3 linked regions of the Oryctolagus cuniculus genome follow. The protein of the gene in region 1 purifies or fractionates together with the protein of each later gene. This does not show direct contact. Links are inferred from orthologs where the notes say so. Each region holds a gene or a part of one and is shown on either strand. Other genes may lie near its edges.

Region 1 (8,189 bases):
CCTTTGCCTTTGGTTCACCCTCCAGTGGCCAACGCGGCTGGCGCGCTGCAGCTGGCGCACCACGCTGATCTGAAGCCAGGAGCCAGGTACTTCTCCTGGTCTCCCATGCGGGTGCAGGGCCCAAGCACTTGGGCCATCCTCCACTGCACTCCCGGGCCACAGCAGAGAGCTGGCCTGGAAGAGGGGCAACCGGGACAGAATCTGGCGCCCCGACCGGGACTAGAACCCGGTGTGCCGGTGCCGCAAGGCGGAGGATTAGCCTAGTGAGCCGCGGCGCCGGCCAACATTGGTTTTTTAGGATTATATTTTATCTTTTCATTGTGATACAGTGATAACTTAGGAATGACTTGTGTAAAACATTTTTTCACCTTGAATTTTTGGAGGTTAGGTAATAATTGTCAAATGTATGGAGATACCCACCCCATACAGACTGATACATATATTTTATTAGAGTTATGCTTTTATACTTAGAAGACAGTTCCATAAAGGAATTTTTTAAAATTTTGTACTTTTTAAAAAATTTTAACAGATGTATAAAAGAAACATATTTCTGTCTCTCCCCTCTATCATTCTGCCTTTCAAATAAATCAGTACATTTTTTAAGAAGCAGAGAAGGGGCCAGCAGTGTGGTGCAGGTATCTGTACTCTGCTTCCTTTTTTTTTTTTTTTTTTTTTTTGACAGGCAGAGTGGACAGTGAGAGAGGGAGACAGAGAGAAAGGTCTTCCTTTTCCATTGGTTCACCCCCCAATGGCCACTGCAGCTGGCGCGCTGCATCTGGCGCACCGTGCTGATCCGAAGCCAGGAGCCAGGTGCTTCTCCTGCTCTCCCATGCGGGTGCAGGGCCCAAGCACTTGGGCCATCCTCCACTGCCTTCCCTGGCCACAGCAGAGAGCTGGACTGGAAGAGGAGTGACCGGGACAGAAATAGGCGCCCCAACTGGGACTAGAACCCCGGGGTGCCAGCACCGAAGGCGTAGGATTAGCCTATTGAGCCGCTGCGCTCTGCTTCCAATCCAGCTCCCTGCTGAAGTGCCTCTTGAGAAAGTAGTGGAAGATGGCCCAAGCCTTTGGTCCCTGCCACTGACATGGGAGACCAAATGGAGCTCCAGGCTCTTGGCTTTTGCAGCCATATGAAGAGTGAACTGCTGATGGAGGATCAACTGATCAATCTGTGTATCTATCTTTCCCTCTTTATCTGTCACTCTGCTTTTCAAATAAATAAATAAATAACTTACTTTAAAAAAGTTGTACTTGAGACCAGCATTGTGGCACAGGCATCGCATCTCAGAATGCTTTGGAGTGCTGGCTGCACAACATCCCATGCAGAGCCCTGCTAATGTGCCTGGGAAAGCAGAGGAAGATGGCTGAAATCCTTGGGCCTCTACCCACGTGGGAGGCCTGATGGAGTTTTGGGCTCCTGATTTCAGCCTGGCCCAACCTTGGCCATTTCAGCCATTTGGAGAGTGAACCAGCGGATGAAAGATCTCTCTCTCTCTCTCTGTCCCTTTCTCTCTCCATCACTCTGCTGTCTAAATAAATAAATCTTTAAAAAATATTAAAAATATACTTATTTTTGGGGTTATTTGTGATGTTTCAGTACAGGTATATACTGTGTAATATCTAATTAGTGTAAATGTATTTATCTCATCAAATCTTTTAAGATTTTTTTAGTATTGAGAACACCCCAAATCCCATCTTCTAAATTTTTAATAGAAAAATTTATAGTGTATTAACTCTGTTGTGCAACAGAATCCCGGAACTTCTCTTTAGCTATAATCTAGTACCCACAAATCATTTCTCAGTCTCTCCTCTTATAATATCTATACCTATAAACATAAATATATTTTAGTTTCTTGGAGGCCATTCATGACTTATTTATGTTTTGATTTTATACATAGGTTTAAAAATCTTACTGAATTCTGGTGAAATAAATTATATTGTGTTATAACTATCTTTTTCCTTCTATGTATTCAAAAAGATTTTGTATGTATACATACAAAAAGGTTGGTAGTCTAATGCTAACATTAAAATCTTTGGCAAATGAGAAATCATGTAGTTTATCTTCCTGTTTTTTAATTACTAAGTGTCACCTGGTAGATACCTATCTTCTTTTTATAGTATGAAAAATAAACTTAAGTCTTACACACACATAAACAGCATTCATTCAAAGGAGTCTTTGATAGCTATATGAAAATATCTCTTTCTACTAAGATACTTAAATGTCATCATTTTTTGAATTAGTATGCCTTTTATTATTATTTGGGATGATCAGGGACATTTTTAAAATTTTATTTGCTTGTCTTATGTTTTGTGGTAGATTTTTAAAGTAGAAAGCTTGGAACAGTCAGAAGACCACTTGGCTAAGAGATAGAGCTTTAATCCTTCTCTTTGACACATACTATTTCCTTGGTAAATTCTTTTTCTTTTCCCTGCGTCTCAATGACTTCATCTGTTTGTAAATTGACGTTGTTGGATCAGATGACAACTAAGGTTCTTTCCATTTTGAACATTCTCTAAGATACAAACTTACTCTCATTTTCTTTGGAAAGAAAAGTTCTAAATGATAATTTTGACTAAAAGGAAAATACTTGTTTGTTTTTAATGACCTCTGATTGGTGCCAGAGAATAACTGCCTCTGCTTTGGCCTGATACCTGCAGTATTAAGGCCGTGATATTGGCTCCATTTTGAATCAGGCTAGTGACAGAAACCATTATTCACTTCTAATTTATAGCCTTGATTTTTTATATATCTCTTTATATATGAGTACTTAGTTGGTTACTTATAGTGCTTCTGTGCTTCAAAATCTTTTTAAAAATAATTGAATATTTTTCACAAGAACCTGAAACTGGTTACAGAAAAGGAGAAATACACTGTGTTCAAACATTGTCATACGTCCTAATACCCTTGAATTGCAGGCACTCATTTTTTTTAACTTCATGGGACCTGTACTAACTCTAGTAGTATAGTAGTTACAAAGACTTTAAATCAAACGGAAAACAATATGGCCCACTGCTTACTCAGTTAAATTATTTTCTTTCTTCTAAGATCTATAAAGCAGTAGTAGGAAGGAATGCAGAATTGCTAACAAGGAAAAGTCTTCTAAATACATCTGTTGAGTTGTTGTGTTCCAAAAGGGTGGTCTTTCCTGTGTAATGCATGTTATCCTATGGTTGCAGATGAAGCTTTTGTTGGTGCTGTGCACCTCATCCATTACCCGGAGGCTGACTGTGCCAGAGAGGAGAGAATCTATTGAAATGGAGCAGGAAGAAGCCTGCTGATAGTGTGAACTCTATTTGAACTAGGACTGACAGGAAGTTTTAACCTTTAGCATTTGGAGTAGACCTTGTGTTTTGGAGATTGTTTTTGTTTTCTTCTTCTCTGATAATTGCATCAAGCACTCGTATTTATTAAAATGAAATATTCCTTTTTAGTGTGGCATTACTTAAAGAAGCCAGTTTTTATAATCATACTGCTTGTTCCTTTTTCCCTCATGTATTGGAAGCGTACTTTGTGTTATAACTTATAACCTAGTATACCACCAAAGATTGTTAATTTTTTTATTCTTAATATTTTGAGTCAAGAGCATTTGTTTTGAAGCATTCTGTGCTTAAAATGTTGAGCTCAGGGACATCAGAGATAGAAAATTAGAAAATGTAGAAAGAAGGTTTCTTGGATACAATTTACAATATAGATGGATCCATTGTACTGTACTCTGATGAGAAAGACCAGTTAAATTTCTTTCAAACTTATCAATGATCATAAACCAGTGTCCTAGCTTGGTTCATGTAATTTGGATAATCTGTGTTTATTGCTATGACTTCTTAGTGTTAGCTCTGAAAAGGGAATTATTATATATTCTTGAATTCTATAAATGAATCGACTGTTCTTTTTTCTTTTGTTTTAAAATTAGTTAGTTATCAGTTTTTTAAATTTAGATTTTAACACACATCTGTCTCTAATTTCTAAAGGTTATAGTTTTATGAAATCTTTCTATTAATAAACATTTCTGAGTTTTGTGTTAGTTTCTTAACACAAACTTCAATTTATTGAAAATATTTTTGTACATTTTTTTCCCTTAACAGGTAAAGTACCTTTTATTCATGTGGGAAATCAAGTAGTGTCAGAACTTGGTCCAATAGTCCAGTTCGTTAAAGCCAAGGTAATAAAGATATTAAATGTGTTTGATCACATTTACTCTTGAATAAGTCATCCATCATTCTTTAGTATGTCTTAACATTTACATTGATTTTTAACATAGTTATATAAAATGCCAATACAAAACAGTGGAAAATATAAGTTGGTGTTTTTTCATAATGTAGGTCAATGGCAAAAAAGGTAGTTTGGTCTTTACAAAATGGTAGCTTTCTAACTTACGCTTATGAAAATTCTGGTCATAAATGAAACTGTTTAGATTGTTAAATTATCTGGTTGATCTTTGAGAAGGGAGATATAACATAGGTTTAGAAGTTGAATTTATTAATTTATTCATTTGATGATTCCATCATTAATTTACTTTATAGTTATGAAGGAGTATTAACATTTACATTAACATTTTGAGGAATAACCTTCTAGACTTTTTTTTCACATTCAGAAAAACATCATAATATTGTGTTATTTTGTAACCTGCCTTTTAAAATTGCTGATATGTTTAGAAATTCTTTCATGTTAATGGCTATTAATATATAGGAATATATCATCTTTTTGAATTGTGTAGTATTCTGTTGTGTTTGAAGCATTGTTATTTTATTTGTTGTAAGTTTTTACTGCTAGGTGTTTAGATTGTGGCCAATTTTTTTTGCTATAATAGCATGCTAAGATAAATTTCCTTGTGTATATATACCTTTGTACACTTGTCCATCTCCTTAGGATAACTTCCTAAAAGTGATCTTGGATGTCATGGCGTGTGCATTTTAACAATCTTACAAACAAATTGCCAGCTTCAACTAAAACTTTTACCATTTCATGTATCTACTTATTACTAAAGTGTATTAGAATTTTGAAATTAATAGCTATTTTCTTCTCTTTTACTAACATTTTTTCATCTTTGACCACTTTATAAGCAGCACATGTCAATCTTCCAACATTCTTTTTATTACTAAGATTAATCTCTTTAAAAAAAAAATCACAGTTTTACTGACCATTCTGTTTTCTTTTGTGAAATAGTTGATGTGATTTTGTTTGTTGGAAGATACATTGTACAAAGACAAATAAAAACTACTCACTAATATTTGATAGTGATAGAATATTAGGCCTACCTTTATATAAATTAATTTTCTTTTATGTGGCATTTTGGAAATTAACCCATTGGATATGTTCATGTTATGTTACTTGTTAGTAAGGTGACTGAAAGTTTTTGTATCTTTAATATAATATTCTCTTACATTTTTAAAAAATTCCCTTTAGGGTCATTCTCTTAGTGATGGGCTGGATGAAGTCCAAAAAGCAGAAATGAAAGCTTACATGGAATTAGTCAACAATATGCTGTTGACTGCAGAGGTACAATACATGATATAGAGGTTGAAAGAATCTATAACCTTTTATAATCTATACTATCTCATAAAATACAGTTTTTCTCATGGGTTATTTTAAAAGTTATAGAGAAATGGAAAACAATTAAATGGTTCTAGGACTGAGGTGGTTATCCAGATTATTTGATCATTATCTTTGAATATGTTATCTCATATATTTAGTTATAGTTTTTCTGTTTGAAAGAAAAGTGGTGATTTTTACCAACTTATTATTTTACTTTGGCCTTATGACATTTACCTGAATATTGTCTATAAAATACTTTAATGATATGTAGAGATGGATTGTGTGAATAAGAAATATTTTTATATAGTACCATCATTAAATTTAATAACTCTACAGAATATTAACTAAGGAAAAAACTTCTTTACTATGTGACTTACAAAGTTGACTTATAAAAATTTAGTGGGGTAAGAAATAACTTTATTTATTCTTGTTCTTTTTGGTATTCTAAAGTTTTAGTGACTGTTCTTTTGTTCCTAGTTGTATCTTCAGTGGTGTGATGAAGCTACAGTAGGGGAGGTGAGTGGTTCTGTAGCATTTATCTTAATTAAAATTTAATGAGAAAACACTTTTGCTCAGAATTGCAAGTCCCTGCTCATAAATGAAACATTGTGGTTTATACCATTAGTGATATAGTTTTTCACTTACCTTAATTTTGCTTGCACATACATTTTAAGGAAGCTATGTGTCATTGTTTGATATAACTGGTTGCAAAGTACATAAAAGTTTATATATTTTTAAAGGGAATGGTTTAAATTTTAATTGTTTGGGTTGTAAACTACATTTTTTTTGAGAGCACTCTGTTTTCTGAAAATGTTTATTTTAGAATTCAGTTTGTAAAAACTGCATTATTATTAGGAAGGATCATGTTATTAACAAAATCTTTTTGCTTTAGATCACCCATGCTAGGTATGGATCTCCTTACCCTTGGCCTCTGAATCATATCTTGGCCTATCAGAAACAGTGGGAAATCAAACGCAAGATGAAAGCTATTGGATGGGGTAACAAGACTCTGGACCAGGTCAGTTTAGGTTGAGTTAACAAACCCCTCAAGTTTTCTGCATTAAAATTTCCTGCTTTTTGTTGATACAGCTTTACAAAATCTTAACATAATATAAAATTGGTAAAAATATAATTTTCTCTTACTTGAAGTAGTTTTGTTTTATAAAAATTACATGTGCTTATTGTAAAACAAGTCATATAATGTAGAAAACTATAGAAAAAGAAATAAAGATTGAAATTCCACCGCCCAGAAATTGCTGCTCTTAAATTCTTTGGTGAATAGTCATCTCAGTGTCCCTGTAGAACATTTTCTTAAATGGACCATATTAGTTCTGCTGAGGTAACCTGGATTTTTTTCCATTGAATGATACGTTGTGATCTTTTATGTCAATAAATATAGATCTGTAGCATCAGGGTTTTAAAAGAAAACTATATTAAATACAATATAGTACTTAATATATCTATTTTTCTTTGGTGTTAAGTTTACTAAAGTAGTATATTTTTAAAATATACATCATGTCCAGATCATGAGTTTGAGCATCATTAAGCTAAATAAATGTTTCCTTTTCAAGGCTATCCCTAATCCTATCCAACCATTCCATTGATGTGTGCCATTGACCACAAGGGGGATTCAGGAAATGAATAGAGATGAAGTAAATAAAGTTCATGTCCACTAGTAGGAAAACAACTCAAATGGTTTTACTTGTGGTGGGTCAACAGTGTCATCTTCATGAAGCAGATTTTTTTTATATATGCAATGTCATTTGAATAAATGGATTCAGGAAAATGTTATTTTAGGGAGTAGAATTTTGAGAGAAAGACTTTCTGGACAGTAATCCTTGTAAGTAACTCAAATCTACTTGTATGTAGAAGAAATTTGCTCTCAAATTTTTGTCCTTTTTCTTATATATGTATGTCATTTACGTGGTAGTCTGATAAAAATGTAAAAAGTTAACTTAAATTTGCATTTTTGTTGTATACTGTGACATGAATTCAGTTTTATATAGTTTTTATTATTTTGCAACTTTAAGTGTGTTTTTCTTTTGGGTCCATTGCTTTCATCAGGTCTTAGAAGATGTAGACCAGTGCTGTCAAGCTCTTTCTCAAAGACTGGGAACACAACCGTATTTCTTCAATAAGCAGTAAGAAGGCTTATTTACTTATTTATTTTTTATTTTCATTTATTTATTAGGTTTCAAATTTCTCTTATCCTAAAGAAATTGCTTTTCTAAGAAATTTTTATGGAAAGATTTAGTTATTTTTAAATTCATTTTTGTACTCAATAGTTATTTAGCACCTCTTGGCTATAAGGCATGTGCTAGACTCCAAGAGACTTAAGATTTTTAAAATGTGGTCCTTGTCATTAAGAATTTCTCCAATTTGCAAGTGTCGTCTTGTAAGCCAGTCAATATGGTATATGATATGATAAAGATTCTAATGAAAGTAGTTCAAGGAACTATGTACGGAATAACAAAACCTTAACAGAATTCTAAACTGCTACTTTGTACAGACATGAAGATGCTGTTAGTGCAGCCACAGTTGTCTATGTTGGATGAGACCATGGGTGCTAGAAAAGTCAATAAAACTAAACAATAAGAAGATACTGTTGAATAGACAAGCACTGTTATGAACTTCTGTTTTAAAAGTCAATTTAAAT
Region 2 (8,189 bases), on another chromosome or scaffold:
AGGACAGAGGAGTCCCCAGATGAATATGCCCCCTGGACAGACCAATGCCCCCGCGGGCAGCTGAGGAACACAGCCTTGATTCAACCAGTCTGGAACACCTGACCTGATCACCCTCAGGCCCCTCCCATCCCGAAGGGTCTCCTGCATCAGGCCACTTACAGCCGTGTGCTGGTGGCAGGCAGGGCCATGTGAGTCCGGTGCTCCAGATCCACCTCTCTTCACTCAACAATTATTTGGACTCCAGCTCATCTCAACGCAGGCCTCAGTGGCTGAGAGCCCATGTTTGCTCAGGGGACACCTCCCAGGCTAGTTTTTGGCTTGTTACCCTTAGAACTCCACTCTAGATTCCCAATCCTGAATGCAGCAAATGCCCATATTAAACCTAATGACATTTTAATCTGTTCTCACTTCTAGCATTACTGCACTCTTTAGATTATGATGCCTGGTCTACTTCCTGATCATCAGGAATTTGGGGATTTCTGAGCCAATCAAATTCATTCTCTTGGGACCAGCACTGTGACAGCCTCTGCCTGTGACGCCTGAATCCTATATGAGCACCAGTTCTAGTCCAGCTGCTCCTCTTCTAATCCAGCTCCCTGCTATGGCCCAGGAAAGCAGTGGAAGATGGCCTAAAGATTTGGGCTCCTATACCTGCGTGGGAGACCTAGAAGAAGCTCCTGTCTCTTGGCTTCAGATCGGTCCAGCTCTGGCCATTGCGGCCATTTGGGAAGTGAACCAGCATATGGAAGACCTTTCTGTCTCTTCTTCTCTCTGTCTGTAACTCGACCTCTCAAATAAATAAATCTTTTTTTTTTTTTTTTTAATTTTCGACTCTCTTTACGCCCTGGTGACAGTGAAGTCTTTGTTTCTACCTCCCTCCCCTCAGGCTCAGTCCTTCCAAAAGCACCTGCCAGCCGCAGCTCAGTGCTTTCCCGCGGCCTTGCCTGATGTCCGGCACTTCCACCGCAGGCGTCCGGAGCAGTACTGGTACAACGTGGGAGCCAGCTGTGTGAGAGAGCACGTGGGCATCTGCTCTTCCAGTCCCACAGCTGTCAAGAAACCCTTCAGGGAGGCTCCTCCAAAAGCAGTCAGCCTGTGACTGGCATCTTCAGCCCACCTCTCACCTGAGCACAGCACAGGCGGCTCAGGCACATGCCAGTTCTCAAGGTGGACTGAAAACCCGGCAGACAGTTCCTGCAGTTTTGTCTCTGCATACTCCCCACTGGATTTATTTACTTACAGCAGATGTAGTGAGCTGCACGTTATCATCTCCGTTTGTTCTTGGTAGAGAATTAGGCATGAAGCCCACTGCCTGCCTCCATGTATGAACCTGCCCACTCTCCTGGTCCCCTTAACGCTCATTATGTAACATGCACGGCTCCAGTTATTAGTGAAGCAGACAGCTTTGTCATGTTTATGGCCATCTGAGCACATTTTCTACTGAGCTGTCCTTCTTAAGGATCTTTAAGATTCTTTGTATATTAAGATTACTAGCACTTTGTCAAATGTTATATTTTCCCTAGTTTATCATTCATTCATTTTTTTCTGTTGTTTCTAATCTCACTCTTCCTACCTTTCTTCTTCGTTTAAGGTTTTTTCACTTGATGAGGTGCTCAGAAAATCTCTTATTATACTTTCACGGCTTCAGTTCTCAGATTTAAGTCTCTTAATTCCTCTAACATTTATTTGGAGGTATGGTGTGAGATAAGGATTTAAATTTAACTTCTTTTTCTAACCTTGTTCCATCACAAAAATAAAAGCAAAAACTAGTTTTACAAGTTAAAAATATCTTAAAATCAGTCAACTTCCAGACGGTGCACTTAGGCTGACTCTCCCCCAGCACTCAAACTCAAAGCTCACTCCCATCCCGTAAACTGCAAAGTCTCTGGTGAGAACTAAGACCGAATGACAAATGAACCACTATTCTTGCTTTGTATAATGCTGAGACTTAACAAAACCAAGGCAAATGCTTATTTTATCTTCCAAAGCTGAAACTGAGGTGTAACCTAGTTTGGCAATTTTCACTTTTCCCATCATTTTCTCCCTCTCAGCAGGCAATCCAGTTTATTAGAATACCCTGGGTCAAGTTATACCCCTCCTCAAACCCTCATCAGTTGGCTAGAGAGGGGTGATGATGAAGCACCCATGGTAAAGTTCTGTCACTTGTAGATCTCCAGACCCAGCTACTGATACGCTTCAAGGCGCACGGGGAGCCCTGCTGCAGGCAGCACCGGGACGGCAGTCAGAGCACCTGGCTCCTGCTCCCTGGCTCGAGGATGAAGCCAGAGCTCTCTGGCTACTGTGTGGAGGTTTCCATGGCCTGGCCCCTAAATAGCACCCCCATGTCTCTCCTTCCCTTAAACTTTACATTCAGAGCAGACCCCTGCACTGGCCTCTGGGCCCCTCCCCCTACTGTTCCCTACCTGAAATGCCCTTCTACCACATTCTATCTTTCAAAATCCTCCCTGAAGTAATGAGCCATTGCCTCCTGTGTGCTACCACCAACCCTGGGCAGCCTTGCACCATGCTACACTAACATAACCACTGGGGTACACATCTGGCCCCTGAGCCAAAGCTGTGTGTGCCACAGACAGGATACCAGCCTGCCTGTCATTATGTCTTAGCATGGAGGCACAGGACCTGGTCCATGAACAGCATTCAAGAAGTGCTAAGTGGACAGGATATAGCTGCTGCCCTCTAACCCTAACAGGGAAGATGAGGAGAGAAGACAGCTCCGCTGGGAGGCAATGCACGAGAACACTCCAGTGCACGGTTATCCACTGTGGCACAGACTTTATCCTCTAGTGGATGGCTACTCCAGACAAATGACATGGTTTTAAACCAAGTTACATGCATAGACAGATCCAGATCCCCATAGAGGGTGCTGGCTGAGCAGAAAAGCAGCAGCTCCAAGGACATTTTTGTTTCGTAGTATCTGTTTTCGTAGCTTATAGCCTCTTTTCTTAAAACGGACTTTGCTTCTTTATGTTTGCTACAAGTAGTTATTTGAGGAAAAGAACAAATTTCTTCATTTGTGATGACATAACAGGGTAGAGATTAAGTCAGCTGGAGCCTGGCTTGGGTGCCAGCTCCACAGGGGGCCAGGGAAGAGGACCCCTCCCGGAGGCCGCGAAAGGACCCCTTGACCTGTGGTTACATGAGAGTTACCGAGGTTGGCACCAAAGTCTTGAGCAAAATTCCTCCTTATTTGGCCCAATTAAAGTAAATCCCTACAGTCCTTTGACTTGAAGCCTGGCTGGATGTCCGGCTGAGGCTCTGTAGTGGTTACATTTCTTTTAAGGATCCTTAGCAGCAACTTCTTACCTGAGTTGTCAAACCCAATCCTTCTGCTCTGTTTTCACAGGTGGAGAGACTGAAACAGAGTGAGGGAAAACAGCCTGGCCCAGGTCCCGAGAGCTCTGACTGAACAGTGCTGCCTTCACTGCCCCAGACAGCGTCTGCCACGCATGGAGAGCCACACGCCCCGCAAGAGTGTTGCTGACATCACCCTGGCACGCACGTGAGCCACACGGGCCGCTCACTGTACTCTGACAAGCAGGTGACTGGTTGTACCCTCCACCCTCTTCCTCCACTCTCCCCGGGGTGCGACCCGCCCTACCTTTCTGTGGGGTGTTTGCACTGCCTCCTGGAGACCCCAACGCAGACGGCGGAGGGGCTTGCTGCTGGCCTGCTGCAGGCTGGCTGGAATCCTTCATGCGGTTAACCACATTTTCAGACAGCTGCAGGAAGGATTGAGGAATGGGAAGAGGGGGACAGGGACAAGTTACACCACAGAAACCTCCAGAAAGGCAGAGTCCCCTGCGTTCACGCCCCAGATTTCCTGAACATACTGCTTCCTCCAGACCCACTCAGAAACCTCTCCTGGTACCCAGAGCCCATCAGGCCAAAGCCAACCCTGTCAGGAATGCCGAGCCTTCCGCAGTACGTCCCGGACTGGCTCCACAGCTTCACCTCCTACCACTCCCAGACGCACGTCCTGCACTCTGCAAAGCTTGAGTTCTCATTTTCTCACCTCCTCGGGGGCCACATATGCTGTTCCCTCGGAACCACCACCAGGCCCCACTTCCCACCCTGGCACGTCAGCACCTGCCTACATCTGACTCTCCCATTTAGGGCACCCGAGCGTTCCCTTCTGCAGAGACCTTTCTCCAACAGCACCCACGTGAAGCATCGCTTTCTCCTCCCTAAACCCCCGTTATGACGTGCGTGCCTCTCAAGGCGGTGCTGCCCCTCCTGCCCTCCCTCCTGCTGGCAGCCCGCGAGGCTCCGTGGGCTAGGGCTGCCCTCACTCATCTCCGTAAACCCTCCGAATCCACACGCGGAGCAGATCATCAGGACGCTGCTAGTCTCATTGCTCCCTATGCCTTTAATGAAGACTGGATCACCAAAACTTCCATTCATTCGAGGGAAGTGAAATAGGCATCAGGGGGTCATTGAACAGTTTACTGAGATGAAACAGCAAGCTGGGGATACATCCGGAATAAAAACCCTTAAGAGTTCACTTCAGTAAATATTTATTAATTGCCTAATATGTGTAAGGCATCATAAAGCACAGTTGAGAGAAGACATTAAATATGACTTCAAGACAAAAGACATGATCAGCAATTCCAGTTCCAGATATCTAACTGAGAAGAGTACTCCCCTGTGTGCACAGAGGCATGTATAAGAAGCTCACTGTGGCACTGGGGGGGGGGGGCAGAATTGGAAACATGAGAGCATCTAACAACAGGAAATTGGCTAAAGAAATTATGGTGGTGGGGCGGGCATCGTGGCGTCGGGCATCGTGGCGTAACAGGTTAAGCAACTGCCTACAATACTGGCATCCCATATGGGCACCGGTTCAAGTCTCAGGTACTCTACTTCTGATCCAACTCTTGCTAATGTGCCTGGGAAAGCAGCAGAAGATGGCCCAAGTGCTTAGGCCCCTGCACCCACATGGGAGACTGAGAGGAAGCTCCTGGCTCCCAGCTGCAGTCTGGCCCAGCCCTGGCCATTGTGGCTATTTGGGGAATGAACCAGAGGGTGGAAAATCTCTCATTTCTCTAACTCTGCCTTTCAAATATATCTTTTAAAATAAAAGAAATTATGGTGTATATTGCCTGAACTATTTAGGAACCATCATGGAAGGGTGTATGCAACACAACTGCTGACTGTTTGAACAGTCAGAAAATCCTTTCTATATCTCAATTTTTGTAAAAAGATATGCACAAGTATAAAATCACAAACTCAGAAATATAGCTAAATGAACAATGTCTTGGCAACCTTGCCTAAAGTCAAATGATCATAGATATAGAAGTTTACTTCTGGGACGGAGCTCCTCCTGGTTGCTGGCTTCAGCTTGCCGAGCCCCAGCTGTTTGTGGCCATCTGGGGAGTGACTCAGTAGATGGAAAGTAACTTCTCTCCCTCTTGCTCTCATTCTGTCACTCAGTCTTTCAATCAGATTCATAAATCTTTTTTAAAATGTACATTTGAGTTTTTACTATTTGCCCAAACACACATACACGGATCTGCACCCAGGGGGAATATACGGGGCTACTACCAACGTGCTCAGGGGGTTACACCCTGCAAGCAGGGGCAGGAGCAAGACTTTTACTTTTGGCACTCCTGTGACTTAATTTTTTTAACATAAGTGTTTAAAGATTATGACAGTAAGAGTAAAGTCTGTCTAGTATGTAAGATATACACCAATCAGGCCGGCGCTGCAGCTCAATAGGCTAATCCTCCGCCTTGCAGCGCCGGTACCCCAGGTTCTAGTCCCGGTCGGAGCGCTGGATTCTGTCCTGGTTGCCCCTCTTCCAGGCCAGCTCTCTGCTGTGACCCGGGAGTGCAGTAGAGGATGGCCCAAGTCCTTGGGTCCTGCACCCGCATGGGAGACCAGAAGCACCTGGTTCCTGGCTTCGGATCAGCGTGATGCGCCAGCTGCAGCGCGCCGGCCGCGGCAGCCATTGGAGGGTGAACCAATGGCAAAAGGAAGACCTTTCTCTCTGTCTCTCTCTCTCTCTCACTGTCCACTCTGCCTGTCAAAGAAAAAAAAAAAAAGATATACCAATCAAATTCCTAATTAGTCACAGAACAAGTCAATGGAAGAGAATACAGAGCACAGAAGTAAACCCATAATCTACACTCAACTGACTTCCAACGAGGGTGCTAAGGTGACTCAACTGGGGAACAGAGCCTCTGCAATAAATGGCGATGGGACAAGTGACATCCCCATGCAAAACAATGAAGTGGGACCTCTACCTCACACCACGTACAAAAACTAACTCAAAATCGATCAGACACCTAAATGTAAGAGCTAAAACAATAAAACTCTCAGAAGAAAATATAAGGGCAAATCTTTACAGCCTTAGCTTTGGCAACCGACTGTTAGATATGACACTAGAAGTATTGCAACCAAAAGAAAAAACCAGATATATCGACCTCAAAATTTACAAGTTTTGTGTATCAAAGTAACTTACAAGACAACCCACAGAATGGGAAAAACAGCTGCAAACCATACATCTAATAAGTAATCTACATCTAGAACATAAAAAGAACTCCCACAACTCAATAATAAAAACAATCCAATTTAAATTTCACCAAAGAAGATACATCAATAGCCAATAAAAGCACATGAAAAGAAACTCAACATAATTAGTCATTAGAGAAATGCCACCCTGAGATACCACTTGACACCCAGCATGTGGAGAAGTCAGAACTCTGTTACACTGTCATGTAAAATAGTACAGCAGCTGGGGAAAAGTCTGGAAGTTCCTTAAAAAGTCATACATGGAATCACCGTTCCACATAGCAATTCCACTCTGAGGAATATACAAAAGAGAAATGACAACATATGTCCACGTGAAAATTTGTACATGAATGTTCTTAACAGCATTATCCATAATAGCCAAGGAATGGAAACAGTCCAAAATGTCTTCAGCTAATAAATGGATTAGTAAAATAAAATATATCTGTACAATGGAATATTAATTAGTCATAAAAGGTAATTAAGTATAGACACATGCTACAACATGAATAAACCTTAAAAAACAACATGCTAAGTGAAAGAGTCAGGCAAAAAAGGCCACATACTACATGACAGATTATACATGTAATGACACAAGTTCACTTCAGCAAGTTCATGGAAAAGGAAATTAAAAAGATAAGCTTATTTTGTGGCAAAAAAGGTTTTGAGTATCACGTGTAGCTTTTCCATAATATACATTTTTCCTTTAACTTTTTGAAACCTTCTTGTATACGCGGATTCAGTAACTTTTGCATTAAAATAAACTTATCTTGGGACTAGTGCTGTGGCACAAGAAGTTAAGCCACAACTTGGAATAGCAGCATCCCATATCATAATGTAAGTTGAGTCCCAGCTGCTCCCAGATTTGCTCCCAGATTCCTGTCCCTGGGAAGGCAGTGAAAGATGATCTCTTGGTCACCATGTGAGAGACCAGAGGATGGAGTTCCTAGCTCCTGGCTTCACCCTGACCCAGCTCCAGCTACTGTGGTCATTCGGGGAGTGAACCAGCAGATGGAAGATGTCTGTTCTCTCACTCACTCACTCTTTCAAATAAATAAACAAATCTTTTTTAAAAAATAAAGTAAATGTACCTTTTAATTCCATTTTCCCAGTTTTTATTTCATTATTATTATTATTATTATTATTATTTTGAGAGGCAAAGAGAGAGAAAAAAAGTTCCCATCAGCTGGCGCACCACCCAAATGCCTAACAATGGTTGGGCTGGGCTGGGCTGGGCCAAAGCCAGGGAGCCAGGAACGTAATGCAGATCTCCCACACACATTTCAGAAACTCAGTTACTTGAGCCATCGCCTGCTGCATTGGCAGGAAGCTGGAATCAAGTGCCAGAGCCAGGAATCAAACCCAAGTACTCTGATGTGGGATGTGGGCATCCTAACCTCTAGGCTAAATGCCCGCGATCCACGAACTTTCTGAAGTACCTCTGTCTGCCCAGAACAGACAAGTCTCCAGAGGCAAAATGTGGATTAGTGCTTGGCTTGGGGAAACGGGAATCTGGGGGTGACACTAAACACCACGAGTTTTGTCTTGTTCTGTTTTTCCCCAGGAGGGGATGATGGGAATGCACCTGGTCACACGTATTTGTGAATATACTAATAACTACTAGATTGTATTTTTAAATTTTTTTTAAATTAATTTATTTA
Region 3 (8,189 bases), on another chromosome or scaffold:
CTATTAAAAGTCAACTATTCAACAATTCTCAATCATGTGTCACACAGTCAAGAACTCGGAACAATATGAAAAAAGACAAAAACCCAAATTCAGGTAGCCAAACTCATGTCCTAACCCCTCATCATTCTGTCTCTTCCACTCTTTTACATAACCCTAACATCTTGATTCCTCAGAGTATGACAGAACCAATGCAGTAGAAGCAAAGGAGGAGCCCGTCAAGGCAGAACAAACAGTAACAAGGAAAGATCAAAAACTGCAAATAGCTGCTAGATGAATCTAAAACAACAGCTCACGACATCTCCCCAGACATTAATATCTGCCGCACAGTGCAATAAATTGTGTCCCATGTGCTTTGTTCAGTAAGGAAAAATACATTTTTAGCTATCTACTTTTTAAAACCATCAAAAGCCTTAACATAAAAGTGAAACAAAAAGGGATATACTTGCTTATCGCTAGAAACAGTGCCATACAGAAGATCCCACCTCCCACCACCGCCAGGTAAGTGCAGTACTGGAGGGCGAGTCCAGAGGCAGGGGCGCTCATTCAGAAAGTGAGCTGTTCTGACCTTCAGAGGTACTTACACATTCATTACCAACTAAAAGACTCTTAGGCAAGTCACTGAAACATACACAATTTCTGATACACACACACACACACCCCCCCACAGAGCATAAAGAATCTTTAGCACTAGCCATAACAAACGGAAAAAGATCATGGATTACTTGGAATGTTCACCAACTATATACTAATAGCCTTGTACTCTGCACAAAAGAAATTCGGATGTGAAAAACACAAGGGATGAAATTAAAGTGGTGAACAGAGCAATGCCACTGAAGAAAAAGAAACCCGACTGTCAGACGACAAACTTGTGCTGAGGTTTGAGAGCAACTGAGAGTTGATAAGGACTTGAGAAGCTGTTGGATTTACATACACTCAATCTCAACTTGTTCTTGTTTTTCCTGTTGTGCAAGGCGAGCTGCAACTTCTTCAGGTGGGCGTTCCCTTACAGAAGATGAGGATGCTTCCTCTTGCAGCAAAAGTAAATAAGAGTAAATCAAATTTCAGCACACAATTTTCACAGCTCACACCATCGTTCACACTTGTCAGTTACATCAATGCAGAGCATTTTTCTGGCGAGAATTCTAAAACTGCATCACTCTTAATGATTCCAAAATGCATAAGGGATCAACTCTTAATCTTCTTGGTTTCAAAGAGTTATTAGGACTTTTAACAAATTTCTTGAACCAGTCTAAAAACTTAAGAGCAGTAGAAATGTATACTTACATCATGTCTAAGAGTTGCCTAGGCATTAAGTAATTCTCATGAGCCCTTTATCTATAAAACAGTAAATATAAATAATTAAACTACCTGAAGTTACAGGTGTGGGTTTTCCTCCAGTAATTTCAGGACGATCAATTTTTACTGGTTCTTCATGCTGAACTGCAGGGGCTGGGACTGATGGCGTATCACCTGCTGCAGAAATAATTTGAGCTGCCTCTGTAGGTGCTATAAATATATGTTACTCGTGGCATTTATATTTTTTTGGATTAATAGAGCAAACACGTAATAATCGACTGCTAGAACTGCCCACATTACATCTGACTCCTTAAAAACACAAAGGCATGTAATGCCATACATCTGAATAATATACAAACAGGGGCACCATGCACTGCAAACACAAACTCACACAAATTGAATGATAGTTGGAAAAGCACTAAGACAAAGAAGTCTTGTCAACATTCATCTGCATTTTAACTATCATTACACTCAGGCAAGACTTCCAGTAACAGTACTAATCCTTACCATGTAAGGAAGTATGGGGCCGGCACTGTGGGAAAAGCCGCCGCTTGTAGTGCCACCAGCATCCCATATAGGCCTGGGGTTTGAGTCCCAGCTGCTCCACTTCCCATCCAGCTCTCTGCTATGGCCTGGGAAAGTGGTAGAAGATGGCCCAAGTCCTTGGGCCCCTGCACCCGTGGGAGACCCAGAAGAAGCTCCTGGCTCCCGGCTTCGGATCAGCGCAGCTCCAATTGTTGCAGCCAACTGGGGAGTGAACCAGCAGATGAGAAGACCTCTCTTTCTCTCTCTCTCTCTCTGCCTCTTCTCTCTGTGTAACTGACTTTCAAATAAATAAATAAATCTTTTTTTTTTTTTTTTTTTTTTTTTGACAGGCAGAGTGGACAGTGAGAGAGAGAGACAGAGAGAAAGGTCTTCCTTTGCCGTTGGTTCACCCTCCAATGGCCGCTGCGGCCGGCGCACTGCACTGATCCGATGGCAGGAGCCAGGAGCCAGGTGCTTTTCCTGGTCTCCCATGGGGTGCAGGGCCCAAGCACCTGGGCCATCCTCCACTGCACTCCCTGGCCACAGCAGAGAGTTGGCCTGGAAGAGGGGCAACCGGGACAGAATCCGGCGCCCCAACCGGGACTAGAACCTGGTGTGCCGGCGCCGCTAGGCGGAGGATTAGCTAGTGAGCCGCGGCGCCGGCCATAAATAAATCTTTAAAAAAAAAAAAACATGTAGGAAGTAGACATCAGATTTCTGTAACATGGAAAGAGAATAATGAAGGAAAAGAGTCTGTAATAAAGAAGGGTCACAAAAGAAAGCAAAATTTACCAAAGAATAATTTCTTTTTAAAATGTGTCACAAGTAATTGTTCTTTTTATTAAAGATTTATTTATTTGAAAGTCAGAGTTACACAGACAGAGGAGAGCCACTGGTTTACTCCCCAGATGGCCGCAACGGCCGGAGCTGCACTGATCCGAAGCCAGGAGCCAGGAGCCTCTTCCGGGTCTCCCTTGTGGGTGCAGGGGCCCAAGCAGTTGGGCCATCTTCTACGGCTTTCCCAGGCCACAGCAGAGAGCTGGATCGGAAGTGGAGCAGCCGGGACTCGAACCGGCGCCCATATGGTATGCCAGCGCTTCAGGCCAGGGCGTTAACCCACTGAGCCACAGCACTGGCCCGGACCAAAGAATAATTTCAATTACTCTGAAGAATAGTAGATACTGAAAGAAGACATCTGATCAGGAACAAGATGACACTCAAATACAAGAAGAAAAGTTCACAGTGATGGCAGTAAATTAGGAGCAGAAGTCATTTAATAGAAACACTTCATAGAGAGTTTTAAAAATCAAGGGCTTGCAACTTTAATGACAAGTTTTGATGGAAAAGAAAAAGAAGTAATTCTAGGGACGGAATGGGAGGAGGAACCAATGGATGCAGTTTCCTTTTTTAAATTGAAGGTCTCAGTTAAAAACTCATTAACTAGCTTCCCTGCTTCTGCCCTCAGTCCCTTCTTGGTTCACAACAGCCAGAGTGATCTTACAAAAATTCAAGTCAAGTATTAGCCTCCTGGCTTAGCACCCTCCAACACCTCTTCACACCACTCAGAAATGAAATCTCTTAGCACTGCTTCAAGTACTGACTGCCACAACAGGCCTTCTGCTCCCTCTCTGGTAGGATTTGCTGCTGTGCGTCCCACACTCACTCTACTCCAGCGTTATCTGCTTCTCACTTGAATAAGCCTCTTTCCACTAGCTTCTCTGCCTGGGATGCCTCCCCACCAGCTTTTTACATGACTTACTCCCTTCTCTCTTTCTAGCCTTTCCTCAAGTAACACTTTCCAAGTGAGGCTTTTCTCACCCACTCCATTTAAAACTGCAATACTCCCCTTCTCATACTGACATTTTACTTGATCTCTTTCCCTTAATCCCACCAAGAAATATTAGCAGAGGTTTTTTGTTTCTAAAATGATTTTGTTGATTACTATACCCAATGGTGCCTAGAAGACTGCACATAACACTAAGTGAACCATCTGCCAACAAACATCTGATTGAATCAAGGACAAGTTTCACTATGGAGAAAGCCAAGGAGACTGAATTCATGTTGAACATGTTAGAGTTAGGCAAGTTGTAAATTAGGGTGGGTTTACTGGGAAACCCAAAGATAAAATATATCTGCAGGAACTACAAAAAGACACTTTGATTACTTAAAGAACTGCTGAAGAGGTAGATAAAAGAGGTGGGGGGTGGGGGAGAATAAATCTTAAAACCCAAAGAGGCGAAAAGTCTAGGAGTCAGAGGGAAAAAAAGATAAATATGTTTCAGGCCAGACAACCTATACTGTTTCCTCACTCAGTTCTTCATAATAAAGCTCAATGCTATGTTCAACTCTGAAACTGAGCACAAGAATGACTTGTGAGAGCTGGGGACCAGAAGAGTCCTTCCCCGGGGGCCTTCTCTTGACAAATACATCAAAACAATTCATTTCCCCATAATTTTTAAAGAATGGTTTTAGATAGAAGTACCTGTTGTTGAAGCTGGAGTATCTCCTTTGTGTTTCTGAAGTTGTGAGGCGGGCTGTTTAGATTCTTTCATTACCTCTGATACACTGGAGATTTTTAGTGGACCAGACTGAATCTTGAGGGGAAAAAAAAAAAATTTACATATAATACTGTTTCTAAAAGACAGCACACAACAATTTATAATATTTCAAAGGTCAAGTCTTTCAGGCTTTTAATATGAAATTATGAGTGCTTTACAACAAAAGCATTTTATTAATCACAGTAAGAAAAGTCATCATTACTAGAAAATTTGCAGTTCAAAAATTCTATTCCAAATCACTAATGCATATTTTAGTACTAACAAAAGGTTCTTTTAGGACAAACAATAAAGTATACATATGCCCTTCCCCTTAAAGATTCTTTTACAAATACAACAAGCAGGTGTTTCTATTTACTTTCTAAATCAAATTACAGTGTCAGAAACAAAGTTTACTACAGAATCTGAGTAAAAATGAAAATCAGTTTTTGTTTCTTTAATCTCCAGGATTCATGCAATTACACATCAATTTGTGAGTAATGCTTGCTTTTCTCTTTTCCAGTTACTACCTGCCTTAGATTTAAGGTACTATCCATAAAAGACTTCCAGAGATGTGCCAGAGAAAGTTAAGGAGTAACAGAAATATTTTATTTACCATCTGTGATGTCTCACATTTTGTCAGAACCTGGCAGCATGTCTCAGATATCCCTAAGATGACTACTTACCCACAGGAAACTACAAGAAATATATCCCTTTTATTTTTAATAAAACATTATCATTCCTAAATTAGGAAACACAGGCTCACTGAAACAAGCAAAGCAATACTTGCATACATCAGTGGTTTTACATGGTCTCTTCATTGCTCCTTTCCCTTCCAGCTAGCTCAGGAAGCCCCGGCCTGAAACCTCTCCCTCCACCCCTGTGCATTGCGGGCCTTGCTGTCCTGCACCTTTGGGGCGCATGGCCCTCAGGCCACCCACCCCATGCTTCCTGGCCCTCCATGCTCTTCCACATGGCTGGCTCCTGGTACTTGGTATGAACCCAGATTTCCCTCTCTCTTTTAGATAGGGCCCTCACTCTCCTATACATTTCTCTCACTGAATAAAAAGCTTAAAACTTAAAAAAAAAAAAAAAAAAAAAAAAAAAAAAAAAAAAAAAAGAGACTATCTCAGAATTTAGTCAACCATTCAACATTCCAGTTGTTTATTTTGTCTCACAAACACTGAATCAATGAACATCCAAATAAATAAAAAGTGCTGTTGTATGTTATCTGCAAGATAATTTCTTGGAAAAGGAACTGCTGGATCAAGGTGCTATATTTTTGATATTAACAGATCAATTTCACATACAGTTCTACCAATTCACATTCAAAATAAACGTGTATGAATAAAATCTATTTCTAAAATCTATTTCCAGTAGTTGTGCTATTCCTCTAATTTCTATTCCTGTTGTCAAGAACTGATTTGATTAAAGCAACATAATAGGTAGAAAGCAAATGTTTTCTGACCCTTTCCCATCCTTTTTCCAAATTTTCTTGGCTAGTCTTGTACATCATGAATTCTGCCATATGAACTTTAAAATCATGAGGTCTGGTACCTCACCCTCTAGAAAATGTCATTAGAATTCTTTACCTATTTCTTTGTATGTTTATGTACACATACCGTAAAAACATATTTATGAGACACATAAGAGAAATAACATCTTTCTGACATTAAGTTCCATCTATGAATATAACATTAGTATCCATTCATACAGGTCTTATTCTATGTCTATCAAAAAAGTTTTAATGTCTACATAGTAAGTATTGAGAAAACACTTACTACACAAATAATCATACAGGTAATAAAGCAGATACTCTGAAATAAAATGCACAGTTTTATTTTATGAAAGCAATAAACTGCTGGCACTACGACACAGCGGGTAAAGCTGCCACCTGCAGTGCCGGCATCCCATATGGGCGCCGGTTCCAGTCCCGGCTGCTCTTCTTCCAATCCAGCTCTCTGCTGTGGCCTGGGTTAGCAGTGGAGGATGGCCCAAGTCCTTGGGCCCCTGCACCCACGTGGGAGACCTAGAGGAAGCTCCTGGCTCCTGGCTTCAGATAGGCACAGCTCCGGCCGGCCATTGCAGCCAATTGGGGAATGAACCAGCGGATGGAAGACCTCTCTCTCTGCCTCTCCTCTCTCTAACTCTGACTTTCAAATAAATAAATAAATCTTTAAAAAAGAAAAGAAGCTAAAGCCAACAGGGAAATTAAAGAAAAAAAACTTGAAAGTCTCACTTTCTAGTTATCTTGTGCAGGGGTTGAAATTTGACTCAAAGTGGAAAATATATCAATGTTTTTTTAGGCCTTCACATTTAGATATGGATAACTATTCCAATTTGATTTTTCAGGTAATGAAGAAAGCTGCTAGTAATTTTAACCCCTGACTAAAGAAAATAATTTCATTTTGGCACAAATACTTATTGCCTTGAAAAACAGCACTATCACAGCCTATGTTGTAGAATAACCTGTATCCCTTTCCAACTATACAAATTCTTAAATAAGTATAAATTGGAATTCAATTAAAGATAGTTGATTATATTGCAATCAGATGGCATTCACAAACTTAACTGGATCATATACAAATAATATCTATTAGTAAGAGTTTTCTTATGCTAATAGAAAAATGTAATTTAGCTACCTAGTCTAAAAATGGTGAATATTATTAATATTGTATAATAGAACTGGGAAGACTATACTCTTTTGAAGAGATTAAGGATTTTCACAATTTTCATCAGATTTTACTATTTTGGTCAAATTTCTAGGTATTTAATTTGTAAAAGTTTGCTGTGTACTGGCCTACAGAAACTAGGGTATTGATTTTAAACTTTTGAAGCCAAGTGATCAAGTACATTTGTAATAAAAGTCAATGGATCGAAAAAAAGAAAGAAAAGGATGGCTGAAGTGTGGGGTAGGCAGGCAACCACGGAACACTTGATTTTCTAAATATCATCTTTGTTACAAAATTGGTCCTACATCATTCTACCTACTGGAGAATTGAAGCTCATCCAGTTTTGAATGAATGGATTAGCCATGTCTAGCCTCATCGCATGAAGAATTGCCCAATATCAAAAACCCAAAATTCATACTCTTTAATAAATTGTTACAAGAAGCTATGTTTAAATGAAGAAATAGTTGAGTTTTAAAAATGTTTAATTCTGGCCGGCACCGCGGCTCACTAGGCTAATCCTCCGCCTTGCGGCACCAGCACACCGGGTTCTAGTCCCAGTCGGGGCGCCGGATTCTGTCCCGGTTGCCCCTCTTCCAGGCCAGCTCTCTGCTGTGACCAGGGAGTGCAGTGGAGGATGGCCCAAGTGCTTGGGCCCTGCACCCCATGGGAGACCAGGAGAAGTACCTGGCTCCTGGCTTCGGATCAGCGCAGTGCGCCGGCCGCGGCGGCCATTGGAGGGTGAACCAACGGCAAAGGAAGACCCTTTCTCTCTCTCTCTCACTGTCCACTCTGTCAAAAAAAAAAAAAAAAAAAAAAAAAAAGTTTAATTCTGATGCAGAAAAAGGAGTGAAAATGAAGAGTATGTACAAAGCCTCATGAACAATGAAAGATATTTCTGTCAGCCAATCAAAATGTAGCTGAAACTTCAGTGACTGTTTCACGCTCTGAAAGAAGCCATTGCTAACGTAACATGTGGGCTGCGTCATGACCATTTGACATCTACGGCTGTCAAGTCAGAGCTTGACGGCTGCAACAACGTAGACTGACAGATTCCCCTTCGATCCACAGGGCAACCAGGGTTACTTCCTCCTATACTGCTCCTCTATTTGCCCTTGTGGATCGCACAATTATTTTCCCCATGGTATGCACTTATGCATGTCCA

What was found. Proteins that work in one complex are often made in the same cells at the same time.
Region 2: the proteins of MTX2 (region 1) and CHCHD6 purify together in Homo sapiens (co-immunoprecipitation; 3 studies listed by BioGRID and IntAct, counting the BioPlex papers as one, with this or other methods). This does not show direct contact. The link is inferred for Oryctolagus cuniculus from reciprocal best matches to the Homo sapiens genes MTX2 and CHCHD6.
Region 3: the proteins of MTX2 (region 1) and IMMT purify together in Homo sapiens (co-immunoprecipitation; 5 studies listed by BioGRID and IntAct, counting the BioPlex papers as one, with this or other methods). This does not show direct contact. The link is inferred for Oryctolagus cuniculus from reciprocal best matches to the Homo sapiens genes MTX2 and IMMT.

What each region holds. Positions count from the first base shown.
Region 1 is NC_091434.1:64,895,885-64,904,073, reverse strand, and holds part of MTX2 (metaxin-2), read left to right. Parts: intron 1-4,083; coding exon 4,084-4,160; intron 4,161-5,404; coding exon 5,405-5,497; intron 5,498-6,010; coding exon 6,011-6,049; intron 6,050-6,425; coding exon 6,426-6,551; intron 6,552-7,597; coding exon 7,598-7,674; intron 7,675-8,189. UniProt on the Homo sapiens protein: Involved in transport of proteins into the mitochondrion.
Region 2 is NC_091441.1:109,712,436-109,720,624, reverse strand, and holds part of CHCHD6 (MICOS complex subunit MIC25), read right to left. Parts: intron 3,741-8,189; coding exon 3,620-3,740; intron 1-3,619. UniProt on the Homo sapiens protein: Component of the MICOS complex, a large protein complex of the mitochondrial inner membrane that plays crucial roles in the maintenance of crista junctions, inner membrane architecture, and formation of contact sites to the outer membrane.
Region 3 is NC_091433.1:116,580,418-116,588,606, reverse strand, and holds part of IMMT (MICOS complex subunit MIC60), read right to left. Parts: intron 4,416-8,189; coding exon 4,304-4,415; intron 1,507-4,303; coding exon 1,369-1,506; intron 1,028-1,368; coding exon 932-1,027; coding exon of another isoform or gene 924-931; intron 1-923. UniProt on the Homo sapiens protein: Component of the MICOS complex, a large protein complex of the mitochondrial inner membrane that plays crucial roles in the maintenance of crista junctions, inner membrane architecture, and formation of contact sites to the outer membrane.